Linked DNA regions of Drosophila melanogaster. The protein of the gene in region 1 interacts with the protein of each later gene in a pairwise test. Each region holds a gene or a part of one and is shown on either strand. Other genes may lie near its edges. The genes, in order: CG7272, CG11357, Obp18a and CheB42b.

Evidence for each region.
Region 2: the proteins of CG7272 (region 1) and CG11357 interact in a two-hybrid assay, tested with the Drosophila melanogaster proteins (one large-scale study listed by BioGRID).
Region 3: the proteins of CG7272 (region 1) and Obp18a interact in a two-hybrid assay, tested with the Drosophila melanogaster proteins (one large-scale study listed by BioGRID).
Region 4: the proteins of CG7272 (region 1) and CheB42b interact in a two-hybrid assay, tested with the Drosophila melanogaster proteins (one large-scale study listed by BioGRID).

Annotation. Positions count from the first base shown.
Region 1 is NT_037436.4:15,499,299-15,504,275, forward strand, and holds CG7272 (uncharacterized protein), read left to right. Parts: upstream 1-1,639; 5' UTR 1,640-1,792; coding exon 1,793-1,962; intron 1,963-3,538; coding exon 3,539-3,944; intron 3,945-4,009; coding exon 4,010-4,120; 3' UTR 4,121-4,471; downstream 4,472-4,977. Other genes in the region: CG7275 (uncharacterized protein), read left to right, coding at 1-598, 655-1,210; CG7857 (uncharacterized protein), read right to left, coding at 4,516-4,859, 4,921-4,977.
Region 2 is NT_037436.4:4,540,087-4,545,078, forward strand, and holds the start of CG11357 (uncharacterized protein), read left to right. Parts: upstream 1-1,964; 5' UTR 1,965-2,018; intron 2,019-2,033; exon of another isoform or gene 2,034-2,556; 5' UTR 2,557-2,821; intron 2,822-4,992. Other genes in the region: CG32243 (uncharacterized protein), read right to left, coding at 1-144, 209-567, 627-761, 837-925, 979-1,082.
Region 3 is NC_004354.4:19,134,538-19,137,734, forward strand, and holds Obp18a (Odorant-binding protein 18a), read right to left. Parts: upstream 1,332-3,197; 5' UTR 1,307-1,331; coding exon 1,256-1,306; intron 1,202-1,255; coding exon 866-1,201; 3' UTR 544-865; downstream 1-543.
Region 4 is NT_033778.4:6,942,562-6,945,828, reverse strand, and holds CheB42b (chemosensory protein B 42b), read left to right. Parts: upstream 1-1,833; 5' UTR 1,834-1,842; coding exon 1,843-2,079; intron 2,080-2,145; coding exon 2,146-2,322; intron 2,323-2,482; coding exon 2,483-2,659; 3' UTR 2,660-2,733; downstream 2,734-3,267. Other genes in the region: CheB42c (chemosensory protein B 42c), read left to right, coding at 419-655, 712-888, 959-1,135.

The DNA.
Region 1 (4,977 bases):
GCGGGCATCGCGATGGAGTCTCCTGCTTCGGAAAGCATCCCAAGCAACTTTCCACCTTGGCCACCGGCGCCTATGACGGCGAAGTGCGCATTTGGGACTTGGCGAATCGTATCAGCTCTCGGAACTTTGTGGCCCACGACGGTTTCGTTCGCGGCATTGCTTACACCCAGAACGGAGGTCGCATTTTCACCGTGGGAGATGATAAAACCATCAAGGTTTGGAAAGCAGAGGCTCCGGAAGTCGGCGAGGATGAGGTGCCGGTGAACACTATACTGAGTAAATTTGGACTGCACGGCATCTCGCACAATCGCAGGGATAACAAGTTCGCCACCTGTGGCGAGGTATGCGCCATTTGGGACGAAAGGCACAACGATCCTTTGAAGACATTGAAGTGGGGCGTCGATACCCTTCACACCATATCCTATAACCCCGTGGAAACAAGCATCCTGGCGTGCTGTGCCAGCGATCGCAGCATTATCCTGTACGATCAGAGAGAGGCGCAGCCACTAAGGAAGGTCGTCCTAACCATGAAGAGCAACAAGCTCGCGTGGAATCCCATGGAGGCGTTCAACTTCACAGTGGCCAACGAGGATTGCAAGTGAGTAAAACGGCCATACGAAGAGGATGTGTTGCTAAAATCTTTATTTCTTACAGCCTTTATACCTTTGACACTCGCAAGCTGCAAACGCCGCTGAAGGTTCACTTTGACCATGTTTCCGCTGTCACCGATGTTGACTACTCGCCCACTGGCAAGGAATTCGTCTCGGCCAGCTACGACAAGACCATTCGGATCTACAATGCCCACCACAGTCACTCGCGGGATATTTACCACACAAAACGCATGCAGCATGTGGTCTGCGTGGCCTGGTCCCTCGATAATCGATACGTTTTCTCCGGCTCCGACGAAATGAACGTCCGCATGTGGAAGGCGAATGCCTCCGAAAAGCTGGGCGTCATCCGTCCACGTGAGCGCGTCAATTTCAATTACCAGGAGGCGCTGAAGCAAAAGTATGCCGCTCATCCGCAGATCAAGCGCATCGCGCGCCATCGCCAGGTGCCGCGTCACGTGCTCAATGCACAGAAGAAGATGCGCACGGTCAAGGAGAAGGAGCAGGTCAAGGAGGCCAATGTGCGCAAGCACACCAAGAAGAGCAAGAAGGTGCCCTACGTCAGCGAGAAAAAGAAGCATGTGCTGAAGGAGGAGGTGTGAGGATGATTGCTAACGACTGTAGTTGGATAAGTTTGAATAAAATTGATTTTTGTAAGGAGACTATGTATGTATATATTAAGAAGCCTAATCTCAATTGAGTTTCTCACTTTCTATCATTGTTCTCAAGTGACTTTCAGTTTGGTCAAGTCAAACCGAAGTTATCAGTGAATTTGCTTAGTTTAAACTATTGTTTGGCTTTAATTCAGTGATACTAGAAGAAAGAAGATGTTGATAAGTTCTAAGGAATACTCTCCTGTTGCTCTAGAGAGAAAACTCATTTGCTTTGCCATGCAGCAACGTTTCGCGGAAATTTGAAATTCAATTCGTATCCGATAAGCCCTCGCGGGCGATAACGTTTGGGGAAAATCGGAGAGACGCGTCCATTTCTAGGGGATTCTCGATTATAAAAGGTTGCCAGCCCCACCGTTGGTGCTCAGTATTTGTTCGTTTGTTGTTACGGCAGCCGCCAGTCGGTCGTTAGTTTTTGTTTTCGTTCATTTGTTTATACTCGCGCGGCACTCGGCCCCCCTCCCGTTCCCACATAACCCGTTTGAAAGGCATCAACTGAGAGTCATTGAAATCATGGAGGCACTGGGGGATCTCTTGGCGCCACACAGCGAACTAATCGCCAAGGTAGCCGGCACCATAACTACCCTGCAATTTCTGTCCGGAGTGGTTCTGATGAACGACATCCGCAAGAAGGGTAGCAGCGACGTCTACCCGGTGGGCCCATTTCTCTTCGGAGTGGTGCTGTAAGTAACCTAATTGGGATTCCGTGATGCTCCACTGCATGCGACATCGAAAAAAAAACTAGTGGGCAGGGGGCAGGAAAAGCGAGTGAAAAGAACAAAAGCCAACGCATCTGTGTGGGAATTGATTAAATTTTAGAACTGTCGCCATGACAGCACAGAATCGAGTCTCTTCAAGGCCGCCAGTGAATCGGTTTTGCACACAATTCAAGAAGATAACAATGGAATCGATTACATCACTGCGTTGGCCAAATGGGAATTACACTTCGATCATCCGCGACCGTTACATTTCGAAATCGTTAACCTTGTCGAAAATCCGCCAGCAGCACTTTTGCCGCCTTATCGATGCGAGAACCCTCCAAACACGTAGCTCTTATCTAGAGTGTATAATTTTAGAGCTCCTCTATTACGAATGCTGATCCGGTAGAGTCTGTCCAAATCTGGGAGAGCCGCTAATCGTTTATACGACGGGCGAAAGATACGCGACTCGCCCTCTCCACGTGCTCGGCATAAAGCGGGGCTGCCCAGATTCCAAAGGGGGTGGGCCACCCAGTGGTGGTGATGGGAATATCTTGTCATCTATAAATATAATCTTCTCTAATTATAGCCGTAAGGCTTGTCCATTACTGCATATGAATAATAGTGTTTGCTTAGCAAAACATAATATTTTTTTAACTATAGTTTCCGTAATAATACATTTCTTTAAACAATTCCAAATTCCTGCTGGCTAAAGCACTAAATGTAGATGAACTCTCGAGGAATTTACCTTTTTATTTTTAAATCGTAAACTTTCCACTGTTTGTTTTGAACATCTCAAAAGATCATAAAGTGCCATATGGCAGCAAGTGAATGAGTACCATCAAGTGAGTGTGCCATCACTGCGCCGGGGCTTACTTGGGGGTGGTTTTCCGGAAGGTGTTAACTTGGACTGTGTCAAGTGTAAGGACCCGCAGACATGCAAGCGAAGCAACAGTTGTATGCTAAACGAATTCCACTCCACCCAATGGGCGCTCGAGGTCTCGGTCAAGGGCAGGTTCCTCGGCCAGTTTGCATTTCATTTCGCCCAGCCCGGGTGTATTTCACCATTGTTGTGGGTTTGTTTATAGGTTGATCGATGATAATGCTGATTATTTGTTGAGCGTTGAGCTCCTTATCAAATGCTACGTGTACCATGATTTGCACGCCGGCCCTATTATGCTTATTTATCTATCTCCACCTAGTATAGAATCTGATAACGCAATTAATAAGTGTAAACTGGTTTTTTTTTTCAATGAAGTGGTAGACTGGAGCACTTTAAATGAAAACTAGTTCCATTTCTCTTGATTCGAACTTTCTGTAGCGACTTACTGCTGGAAAACTGGTTCGGGCAGGGTCAATTAATTTGAATTAATTATAATATCCTCAGAAAACTATGCTCTTATCTACAAGTTAACTGGAATTTATAAAATTTCCAGCCTTATATTGAAGAATATTTTAAAATGAATATGAATGGTAACAGTATTACATTTTTGTTTAAATATAAAAACCAAATTTTGTCCTAAATTAAAGTAACTAATTAACAAATTGTTGAACTTTCTAGGACCGTTCTCAGCTTGAAGCTGGCCAACATTATGAATGATGCTGCCATGATCAATACGAATTTAATCGGCCTGGTGATAAACTTCGTCTTCCTCTTCGGATTTTACTACTACGCCTCGAGCGCCAGCAGGAGCAAGATCTGGAAGCAGATTGGCTATTCCTCGGTGTTCCTATTGGCCATCACCGCGTATGCCAACTTCGAGGATCCCGCCAAGATTGAGTTCCGCCTGGGAATGCTGATCACCGGCATCCTGGTTTGGATGGTGGGCTCTCCCCTGCTGCATCTGCCGAAAATCATTGAGAAGAAGAGCACCGAGGGAATGCCGTTCCCGATTATCTTTGCCGGTAATCTGGTGGCATTTTCCTGGACGCTGTATGCCATCTCCATCAAGAATACTGTGATGGTGGTAAGTTAGCAATTAATTCTATTAAACGAGAATGTAAATTTGAACCGAAAATTCTTCTATTTCAGCTGCAGAACCTTTTGCTGCTGGTCCTGGGCGGCATTCAGCTCTCCATGTTCGCTATTTATCCCAACAAACCGGCTGCCGAGAAGCCCAAGGACAGCAAGAAGGACAAATAATTGAAATCGAACGCTTTACCTAGAAAAAAGGACAAATAATGGGTTGTTGCAACAACATTACCAAGTAATAAGTAGCTAGGCTTTGAGGAATAATCAAATTATTGCTTGAATTTACACTAAACCGCCACAAGAAAACTAAATTTGAGCTAAACGAATTATTTTTCTATATAGGAAATATTTTCTTAGAACAAATCCAGCTAACTAAGTTGCTAGCTAACCTAGAATTGTTATTATATTGACTATTATTGTATATAACTACTACATACTTGCAATTTTTGACAATAATTCAAATCTTCCAAATGCATACGTATTTATAAAGTCAACATAATATGTAATAAAACAATCTGTTACAAAATCGAGTGAGTTGATGGTAAATGCCATTGGGCATTTCCCGTTTAGGCTGCTGGCACCGTGGAATTGTAGTGGGCACCCAATTGGTATATGTGGCGGTGGTAGCAGATGATCAGCGGTGATCCACCGAATTCCTCTTGCCCCAGGAGCGTCGGTGCTCCTTCCGCTTGGATAACTTCAATGGGCACCCGGAGTAGCGATGAGATGGCCTTCAGTTCTATGTGGCCACCCCAAGCGTGAGTTTTTGCTATGTCGTGGCAGTATTGTTCGAATTGTTGGTCGTTCAGAATGTCTCCTGTTTCCGGGTGGATCATGTATGAGATAAGCGAGTCCTTGTGAGCACGCACATAATTGGCAGTTTCCTCCCGCAACTCCTGAACACTGTGACCTTTGGTGCAATTATTATGGATTAGTTTTGGTGCTGTGTGGACTGAATCGTGAAGCATTACCTGGAAGAGCATTTACGATAAGTTGGTGTCTGATGGACTGATATAAGCAGTCGCCAT
Region 2 (4,992 bases), about 11 Mb from region 1:
TTGCTGATTAACAAAAATGCTGGGATCATTATTATTATTATTCATCAGCGATTCAAGGCGTGAATTGTACAGATTATTCGTAAATAATACTAAGGAATCGGATAGACCAGCCACATCACCAGATTGTGTAGAACTATGAGGATTCTACATGAAAGACAAACAATTTAAACAAATTCGAATGTATGTTAATGAAATATGAAGTTTATACCAAAATCGACGAAAGCATCTTTTCACTGGCGCAGAAGTCGAAAACCTCTTCAGGATAAACCAGAAATGGAACTGAATGTATGATGATTTTTCTAAGTTTATTAGTCACACTGGATGCTTTTTTCAACGATTCGGGTGTTATTGGTATATCTTTCTTATTTGGGTGCCATATCTGAGTGGTAGTATACGTTTTTAGCTCAACGCGACCATCGGTTTGCTTGTAAACTCCAAGATACGGGGTGACCATTAGACCTGCGGCAAACCCCGTATGGGTCACAAATCGGTTCCAGGAATCAGACATTGAGTACTGTGACACATATGACATGCAACAGTCAATGTTGCTGGAATGTCCAGTTTCATCTTGTACAAATAAAAAAATATAATACATTTCTCGATTTACTTATAACTATCGAGCTTACCCACGCATCGTCGGCATCGAAACACCGGATACAGGCGCCAGGATCTACTTTCTTCGGCCAGCTTGGGATCATATACATTATTGACAACCATCACAAAAAATAAAGACGTGAGTGACTGCCCTTTGGAGTATTTTCCTGATATGAGAAAGTAGATAACATAATGACGCTTATTTGGAATATATTATTAATTTTACTATAACTATAACTCACTATAACTCCAGATCGCATGAAACATGTTAGAATCGAAATTCAGCAGAGACAGCTTTGCCTTCAATATGTTTTCTTGACCCGACGATATTCTGCAAACCTTGAGCTTTATAATTTGCAATTTTTTCGGATGAATCCTACTTACAGATCCCAGGTTATATCGTTGCCATGGCCCAGGATGTCGGCAAACTTTTGCTGCACTTCTCTGACTGTGGGAACTAAGTTTCCGTCCCCTTTTGGAGCACTCATTTTTGCAAACTTTTATTCCTGCTTATTTCTAGAACTTCTTCTGTTGCACGTAGAAGATGGAAGTTGCAACAAAAGGCGGCTATCGATAGTCAGTGCTGACGAACTGTCACTATCTAAGTAATATGATGTATTTACCAGTCATATTAGGGATATTTGTAATTTAAATAAACATTAAATAAAACACTTATCAAAATGTATATCTCTTAATGTTTATGATCACCCCAATATTGTTTACATTCGACTGTTTGTAAATAATTAGGTTTCATAAAAGGCATTATTACTCAACGAATTAAATATTATTCTAATTTTTGTTATTAAGTAATTAAGTAATTACAAAATTTAGTTGGCTGATAACGATATTAGTGCAATTTAAAAAGTTAAAATCTTAATGTTAAGTTAAAATAGGTTTCCTATCGGTTGAATCAATTATCATTGCGTTTCTTCGTAATTTACAACTTACGAATGGCGACTGAGCCGATGCACTTTAATCGATAGCAATTTTGGCAGATGGATCTTGAAAATCTAGGCAAGCTAGATGAGAAAGCGATAGAAATGGTCACCCCAAATTTTAAACGCGTGTCGATGCTTGAGTTCCATCCCTATCTCCCGCTTTCAGTTAACATTCCAGTGGTGTATATAAAATCTTATGCCTGGGGTTTTTGAAATTTATACTTAAATAATATATATTAATACTGAACATGTTAATATTTTTAAATGTGTTTTGATACAAATATTGTTAAAAACTAGATTTCTTTAACTCTGAATATTCAAAAAGTTTTATGAAGCCAACTCCCCTTAACAGCCCTTCTTTACAACTAACAACAACGCCTCTGTTAAATATAACAGTGAATTTCGCCGCTTTAACAGCAACTGAGAGCGGCTAACAGTGCGAGAGAAATTCGAACGGGGCAGCAACAAAAAAGAAGAAAAAGACTGGTAATAACGCTACGCTTCTCAGTTACTCAGTTCCGAACGGGCAAAAAACAATTTAGCGCCCTCTGAAACGCTCTGTGTTTTATTTTCCACTTAAAATATTAAAAAAGTGCATAAAAATTGCACACGTCGCTGATAACTCGCTCGGTATACTTATTCTCTAAAATACTGTCTTTCAAATCAGTTGGAAAATATGACATGATAATAAGTGAACAATAGCCGCGCCGAGAATTTTTCGACGAGTGACGGCGGTTATTCCGTTTTTTATTCAGTTTTTCTTAAAAAACCCAAGCGCATAAACAATTAAAGTCGGACAACACCATCGTTAAATGAATTAAAAGTGAATAAAAGCGCTGTCAACGCCTTTTTGGGCAGCGAAAAAAGGAAAGAGAAATCCAGGCCCAGCATCCTTCAGCCTGCTTCTTCTTCTTCCTCTTCATCTCCTTTTGCATTTCTTTTCGCCGCGTCTGTATAGGTGTTCGTGTTGGTGTGGTTGTGTGCAAGCTTGAAAATTGTGTTAAGTTAAGTAAATTTATTCCAGCTGCCAACAACAAATTGATGCCAAAAATCTATACAAATTAAGTGCTGCGTGCGCGTGTGTGTTGAATTAGCACTCCCAATTGGTGTCTCTTTCGCTCTAACTCTGTTTTTGAACTGTTACCCAAAGCGATGGGTGTGTGTAAGTGTGCGTGAGTGCTTCACATGGAAATTAATTAAAAACGCACATTTGTTGCCATTTCCCTCGCTCTCCCGCAAGGATTCGACTGACTGGCTAATGAGGAAGCAGCCAGGCGAACAACCAGCAGGTGACTATTAATACATAAAAAAAAGCATAAAATGTATGAAATTAATTATGCGAGTGCTTGGATACTATCTCTCCAGATTTCGAGGGGTTTTGTCTTTTACTTTTGCTTATCAGCATCCATTGAACAGTATCCTATTGTTGTCATTGTTGCTGCGGGGAGGGACACTTGCTCTCTCGCTCACTCTCTTTCATGTGTGGGTAGCGTTTTTTTTTTTTGTTTTTTATATACGCATCTATCTCTTCTTTCGCTCTTTTCTTCGCCTTTAAGAGGCGTTGTTGTTGTGTGCTCTTCTTTTGTGCTTTTTTCCAACATGAATTTTCTTCGCTTTTTGTTAGCACGTCGCTGTCGCTGAGGACTGACCTTGAACAAGTTCAGGCACAGTGGCACGCATGCCTGTTTGTTGTCCTCCGTTTTGGCTCGTCTGCTCCTTTTCGCCTTTTTCAACTCGTTGTCCTTGGCCTGTCCCACTGTGCCGCCTCGCTCCGTCTCCCTCTTCCTATCTTTCTGTGCGCCTCGCTCCCGTCTGAATGTTTGCCCAAGACTGCGAGAGTGTTTACCTCATCACTTAGGTACAGTGGAAATCTCACTAGTTCCGATACACCGCTTATCAATAAAAAATAACCCATTTCTATATCAATTTTTCCTGATATCAATCAAGTCATATGTATTCAACTTATTACATATTCAATAGATTTGTTATCTGAAGAAGAAGTCGCTAAGAAGACCGTGTTCGAGTCCCACTAAGATAGCACCATATCTCTAAGGGCGATATTTTGGATCTAAATCGATTTTTGTGTGATTTTCGCTAATAGACATTTAACACGTGTACTTTAAATTAATGTTTAATTTATTGAGCACTATGGCTTATAAGGAATTACAATCATTCCGTTCAGTTTAAAGTTCATTGTTTGCATTGGCGCTTCAAATTTTCAATCACATGCTCGTTGGCGAAGCTCTGATTTTTAATTGCGCCAGCTTCCGCGAGAAGCTCTCGCTCTCTCTTTTTCCCACATTCATCTCCCCTCGATCGGCCGTCTCTGTCGAATGGGCTTTAACGCTTTTTTCAGTGGCGCAAAATAACGTTGTATACGCTTTGCTTGACTGTTTGTTTGCCTATCAGCTGCTGTCACCGCTTTTCACCCGTTTGCGCCTTCTGGCCCACTGATAACCGGCGGTGCGAGGCGTTAGACGTCGGCGGTGTTACTTTTATTGGTCCGTACAGTGACCCCGAGATTCTCCGCCGACGTAACGTCACGTCAACGTTTTCAGCTTTTTGCTTTCTCTTTTACTCCCCCTTGCCGCGCCGAAATTTTCGACACGTACGAACTGCTATTCATTATTAATACCCGAATTTCGAGCGATTTGCGATCCTAAACAGTACGTTTATGAAATAACATCCTTATGTCTCACAACTTAATCTTTCAACTGTTTTCTACTTCCTTTTGGGTTTCTCCACTCGACTTATTCATGCTTTTCTAAGATATGCGAAAAGTAATCTGCATGTAGCAAGTTTCACAGAATTTTGTGTATAAGCACACCAATCTTAATAATTTTAAGAAAATTGTATTTTGGTCTTTATCAATGTGCTAGTATCAGCTAGAATATAATACTCTAATACTCGAACATAATAATTCATTCCGTTTCATCATGTGATCCCCTCATGTGAGACTTTCAAATTCAATGCTTCAAATAAATATAATGTTTATCAGATAATTGTTTTTTTTTTTTGAAACCAGCGGAACATCGAGAGAATAACACTTATTTCCATTGTGAATTTGTTTAGATAAGGCATACCAAAATACTTTAAAAGTTTATGTTCGTATAATGCAAATTGTTCTTTTATTTTAAACAAATACATACACGTGCCTCTCTTCTCACACACGCATTTGCTGATGTGGATACATTCTATAAATATTGCAAGTATTTGGAATTTCTTGATTGCGCGCGTAAATGGATAGAAACCAGACATCCACGAAATTTGTGCACTGCAGGAGAACTTTAATTTATTACTGGATTTCTTACTTACTGGATCATCGTGTGATTTCTTTAATTTACATGCGAGCGATTCCGAGCGTTGCAAGAACAGCAAAAAATGGCCATGATCATGTTTGTCTAGTTCGTTTTAATTTTTATCAGCAAAAAATTTAATTGAGTGCAAATCGCGAGCCGAA
Region 3 (3,197 bases), on another chromosome or scaffold:
TGGCAGCCGCAATGTCGCCCAAGGAGTTCGTGTGCCATGTCCTGCGTCCTGCGTCCTGCGTCTTTCGTCCTGTGTACTATGTACTGTGTCCTTTGCACTCGACTGCGCTGAGTCGAGTTAATGAAAGGCCAAGTCAAATGCCTCACTGATTGCATTGACATCCTTCTGGCCCTTTTTGGCCCTCTTGGCCCAAAATGTATTTGGCCAAACTTTACGTATGATTTGCTGGGAAAATTGAAATTTGCCCTGCATCCTGTGGGGTCGACTGGGATTCATTATTACGTCCACACATCCGCCCCATCAAGTCGGTTCTGCAGTTCACAGTCTGCGATTTGCATTTCAATTATGTTCAAATTGCATCTTCCATATCTGCCATTTCAAATATTATTCAAGCAGGGGGAAAATTTTGTGTTTGGCTTCCCAGTCCACCCATATATGTACATATGTACATGCATACATACATATTTGGTCAGCAAACTGAAATTTTCTGTTATTTATTTGGCCATGTTTCTTGCGAATTTTCGGAAAATAAAGACTCTGATTGACTTATTATTGCATTATGTATTTCCACCAGTTCTACGTTACTTTGCATAAAACAAATCAATAAAAAGCAGACGAGTTTAAAACAATGCATGTCTACTATTTTGCTCTAATACAATTATTAATCACTGTATACAAATAATAATAATGAAAATCACACTTATACTAAGCACAATCGTGTGTAATTTCCATTAGAGGGCGTTTGATCTGATTAGAAGACTCAACAATGAACTGTGATGAAGCCCATTGTGTCTGTCATGTGTGTGTACATATATGTATGTAGTAATGTATATATGTATACTTTATTTTTTGTTTATTTGGTAAATTACGAGGCGATAGTTCCACTCTGCTTGCCCTTAAAATAACACTGGAGAATCAGGTATGGATAGTCGCACGTGTCCAGATTGGTGACGCCATCGAACTGCTGCTTACACTGGGACAAAATCACGTGGTCCTCTTGAGATCCTCGCTTTCCCACCTTCTGCAGATCGATTTTCCCATCATCACCGAAATAATCCTGGATCAGACACCGGCTATAGCACTTAACGGCCACTGGAACATCCGCAACGGGAGTGGATGGAGCCACTGCCTGCACTTGGGCACTGGTCAGATTGTGGTGCTTTAGGCAACCCTCTGCGTTAACGCGGCCAGCTGATTGCCACTAGAATAGATGGTATTGTTAGATGGACACATAACTATTTCGTTAAGAACTGACCATAGTTATCAAGCAAATCCATAGTACAGCTATGCTGCACACAACCTTCATGGCGAAAATCTGTTTCCCAACTAACAATGAGCGCATCATCACAGCTCTATATATATAACCCATCGATTTGCTAATTCAGCTCAAAAGTAGACAGGAGATTTTAATTAAATAATTGGATGCTACTTTACATTCGCCACACACCAACAAATAAAGTCTATAATTGAAATTTTAAGCGCAGTTCCCGATTATGAGCTACACGTATGTCGTATGCGCAATATCTGCATTACAATTGCCAATAGTAAATTACCAACTTGGTTTTCTTCATATTTATTAAGATAGAAAACATACAATTTTTGGCTTTTACACTCCAAGCATCTCTGAAGTTTAAACAAAAAACATATGTGTAGCCTATCTACTGTATTGGACTTTATTCGTATATTTTATATGGTTCATTAATATAGGTATAAATACAAATTATATTCACGCTTTGCGATTTGCAGCGAATATCACATCTTATACACGATGTAAAAAAAAAAAAAATATTTCGTCATGTTTTTAGGTTGGCCGCAGGCAGTGCTCACTGTACCGCCACAATGTTTATCGTTTTGCATTTTTTTTTTCTTTGTTTTCTTGCGGTTTCCCCTAATTATCTTTAGTATAAACTTAGTCTACTGTCTTTTTTGGTAAGTATTTTCGTGATGGGCTCGTCTATGCGAATTCCCATTTCCAATGAATAAATAAAGTAATTAGAACATTAAAATTAGCAATAAAACACGTACATTTAAAGCTGACAACAAAAAAAAAAAGTATTCTTATGTTAAACTGTAGTATGTGCCTATGCAATATTAAGAACAATTAAATAAAATAGCATATTAACTTATGGCAGCACTTTGTTGCTATGTTTATGTTTATGTTTATGCACGCAGTTAGGCCAGGGCGGATGTAACATGATCACCCACTCGAAGGCAAAAAGTATAAGTGCATGGTCAGCATTCACACGCCGACCAAATACATATTACATACGTACATACATATCTCGCTCTCCCGATAAGCCTAGATATATAAGATATACATAAGAACGCCGCTCCGCTGCTGGCGTACCCGGCAGCGCAGCTACGCGGATTAGCCTAAGTCCAAATATATTAAAAACTGTAAAATCAGAGAGACTCTGTAGACGTTGAGCTGACAGAACCATTTCTGCCTACTCTAAAATCAAAAGAAGAAATTGAATAAATATATGTCAGCCCGACGGCTGCCTTCAACTTAAAACGGACTTGTGTTCTGAATTGGAGTTCATCATTACATGGCGACCGTGACAGTCGTCCAACGCTGGACGAATTGACCAAAGCTGGTGAAAACAAAGGAACAAAGGAACACTGGACTGGAAGAAGACTGGACTAATTAAATGGAACTGCAAAAACCAAGGAAAAATCTGAGTGAGTAGAGTTCTATTGAGTATGGGCAAACACCGTGGCGGTTTGAAAACTAAGCTGAATAAACGTATAGCCCACGTAAGGTGGCTAATATACGGTCAGCAAACGCCACCGGTTTGGTCGAAAGCTCTAAAGCTACATGCAGAGCTAGACCACTTGTTGCAATATCAGCAAGAATTAAAGACCCATAAGCTCGAGAAAACTCACTCAGATAATATTAAAAATATACCCACAATTAATGAAGTTCCAAAATACCAGGCATGTCCAGCACCAGCACCAGCATTAACAAAACCAAAGAAGTCCTGCCCCCCTGGCTGCGAAGGAATCTGGAGTCCCCACTGCCTGGGGACTTGTGAGCGACCATCGACGTCTTCAGCGGCGAAGAAATAGACAGCAGCGAGGGAGTGTCAGCGTGCCACCCCCGGCGACGCCCAGCTGACACCTGATGAGCATCATCAACAGCAGAATATAATAATAAATATATATAAATATAAAGTAAATATAAAATATATATAGAT
Region 4 (3,267 bases), on another chromosome or scaffold:
TTAATTTAATCAAGGAGCCTACAAAGATTTTAGCATTGAATTCAAGAAGAACAAAAGGTTATACTTTTACAAGTATAACAATCTAAATGCCTATTTGGCATACAAGTTGTTATGCTAATGGCTAAAACCTTTAGTATTTAGCTTATATATCTTAATAAATATAAGATTAACAGGAATGATTGTTTTGATCGTTTAATAAGGACTATTTTCATTGGCACTGATTTCCTCGAAACTTGTTATGGTTGAAGTGAGCTTCTTGCTTTAAATGTCGATTTAAAATAATGTCTGGCAAACAAAATGGTTGTAACTTTGTTGCATGTCGAGTGGATACATGATGACATGATAGCAATGATAGAAGAGATCATGATGGCAAGTACTATAAAAGGGTCTCATCCCACCAGGTGATACTATTGTCATCATGAGAACTCTCATGCTGTTCGTATTTGGCTTTGCTAGTTCCTGGGCCGCAGACTACGAGCTGTTGCTGGAGGACCCTGATATCTTTTCACCCTGCACTGAACCGCCGCCGGGATCGATTGGATTCCACGATGCCTTCGATATTGGCGATCTGGTAGTCGACCAGGACATGGACATCATTCACCTGTCCGAGAGTGTCACCTCAATCTGGGATGTGGAGCCCACAGATCGCATATCCGTAATGCCCGCATTCCTTATACGAAATAAGATTATTAATAAACAATTGCTTTTAAGGCCAGGTTTGCAATAATGCATTACAACCGCGGCAGCTGGGAACCGACTGTATTTAGCATGGCCACGCCGGACTTCTGCGCCTCAATGTTTGATGAGAATCAGTCGTGGTTTAAGTACTGGACCAAACACATTTCGAACCGCGATGAGGTGATGGAGAAGTGTTTTAAAACGCGTGGTGTGAGTTTTCCCTGCAAACAAAACAGTCCATCTCTGGCGCGGTGACTTTAACCTTGGGATTCCATTACAGACCGTTATAATGCACAATCCATTCGATCTGCAGCTGCGTCTAACGGACATTCGTGGTGCAACTCTCAGGGGTCGTTACAAAGCTGTGGTCACCTTTGAGGCGGTCGATGAGAAGGATGTGCCACGCCGTAATTCCATTTGCTTCGAAATCAGGGGAGAGGCCGAGAAGATAAATTAATTAAGGGCTTAATCTGTTCAAGGCGCGATATCAGTAACCTAAAAAACAATATAAACCCAATATCTACATATTTTGAAAATAAAAAGCAATCTTAAAAATATAAATATAAATAAAATATATCAACTATTCTGAACTTGATATATGTACTTGATTTGGTACAAAGTGTGTAACAGGTGACGCGAACCTTTTTTTTCGTTTGATCAACCTTATGCCCGTATGTGATCTCGGGAGCTATAAAAGCTATATTGATAAGATAAGGGATGCAGATTATAGAGAAGTACTTTCAGAAGATTGCCACGCCTACTCTACCACACCCTCTAACGACCAAAAACCGCCCAAAACTGTCACGCCCACACGGATATGTGATCGCCAAGAAAATCTTTGGGGAATTTGTTTTTTGTTTCAAACTTGTTTTTTTTTCTAGCCCAAAAGTTATTATTATTAAAACATCTTGTTTTACAATGTTTAAGCACGAATATTTTCAAGGGTCACATAACGTGATTTGCCAATTATATTGTTAGAGTTTGACAACGTCTGATTAACAGGAGATGGTTGTTACATTGTTGCGTGTTGAATCAATGTACGATGGCATACCATGATTAGATGTCATCATTTTAAAAGGTGTATAAATAAAACATATCAAAAACTCTATTGTGGCAGTGGCTATAAAGGGGTCGGATCTCACAGTTTTCGGTTCTATGGTCATCATGATATTTGTGCTGCTACTCTTATTAGGAGTGACCAGTTCCTGGGCCACAGACTATGAATTATTGCTCGAGGATCCGGACATATTTTCGACGTGCACTGATGGTCCTCCCGGATCCATCAACATCCGCCAGGCACTCAACTTAGACGACATTGTAATCGACCAGAAAGGGGATATACTTCATGTATCCGGGAACGCCACCGTCGTGTGGGATGTGCAGCCCACCGATCGGATTACTGTAACACAAACTGCAAGCTTCGGAATAATCATCGATTCTAATATCAAAACTCTTGCATCCGTGTAGGCGAGACTTGATGTTTTTCACTTCAACCGCGGCACTTGGGAGCCCACTGTCTTTAGCATGGCCACCCAGAACTTTTGCTCCATCATGTACGACAAGAACCAGTATTGGTATAAGTATTGGACAAGGTTTATAACCAATCGCCATGAGGTGGAAAAGAAGTGCTTCAGAGGGCCTGATGTAAGTGGAGTTCAAGCAATTTGACAACCAAATACGGTGGAATATAATAGCATATGGGAATAGTTCTCATATGGGATGCAGATTATTCATATGGTTGTGTGCAAAGGACACTACCATTTTTTATTGCACAATATTTTGAAAATATTCTGATTTCTTACAGACCGTTCTGGTACACGAGCCCTTCGATCTCATACTAAAATTTGAGAATTTTCGTGGACCTCTTCTTAGAGGACGTCATAAACTTGTCATATTGTTTAACGCACTAGATGAGAGGAATATACCGCGCCCAAACCCAATTTGTTTGGAGATCATAGGAGAACCACTAAAGTTGCAGTAGTTGGAACAATAGACTATTTTGTTGAATGTGTATTTTTTTTTTCAATATTGTATAATATTAAACATAGTGTTCTTAATTCCTACATTCAATAACAATTTAAACATTGCATCGTGTTTTAACAGATCTCATAACTTTAGGGGCTTGTTTTACCTTCCATATCCCCAATCAGTTAACTTCTTGATTCGTTTTGTTTTGTGGTTGGTGGCACGCGTTGACGGCAACTTGAGTTCAAGTTGCGGTTTCCATATCGGCTAGCTGCGTGTGGCAAGTACCTTCTCGGGTAACGACGTGCAGACAAAGGAGAACCGTATACTGACTGCATTTTTTTGGGGTCATGACTGCCGTTGCTGGATGGGGAATATGCAAATACAATTGTCGGTTATTGGATTACCCGATGATGATTGGCATAAGTTCCGATCGATTCAAATCGCAGCAATCGATTTGTCAATTTGCAAAGCTCTTGCCAATTCACGGAAAATGTTTCTTACAGATTTGCGAAAACTTTTAAACGGCAGGGAGGTAAGCCTCGGAACACTTTCATTTCATATTCCCGGCGAATAATTTTCTACTTTCTAAACCGAAGAGCCAGAAACAAAGACCGTCTTTAG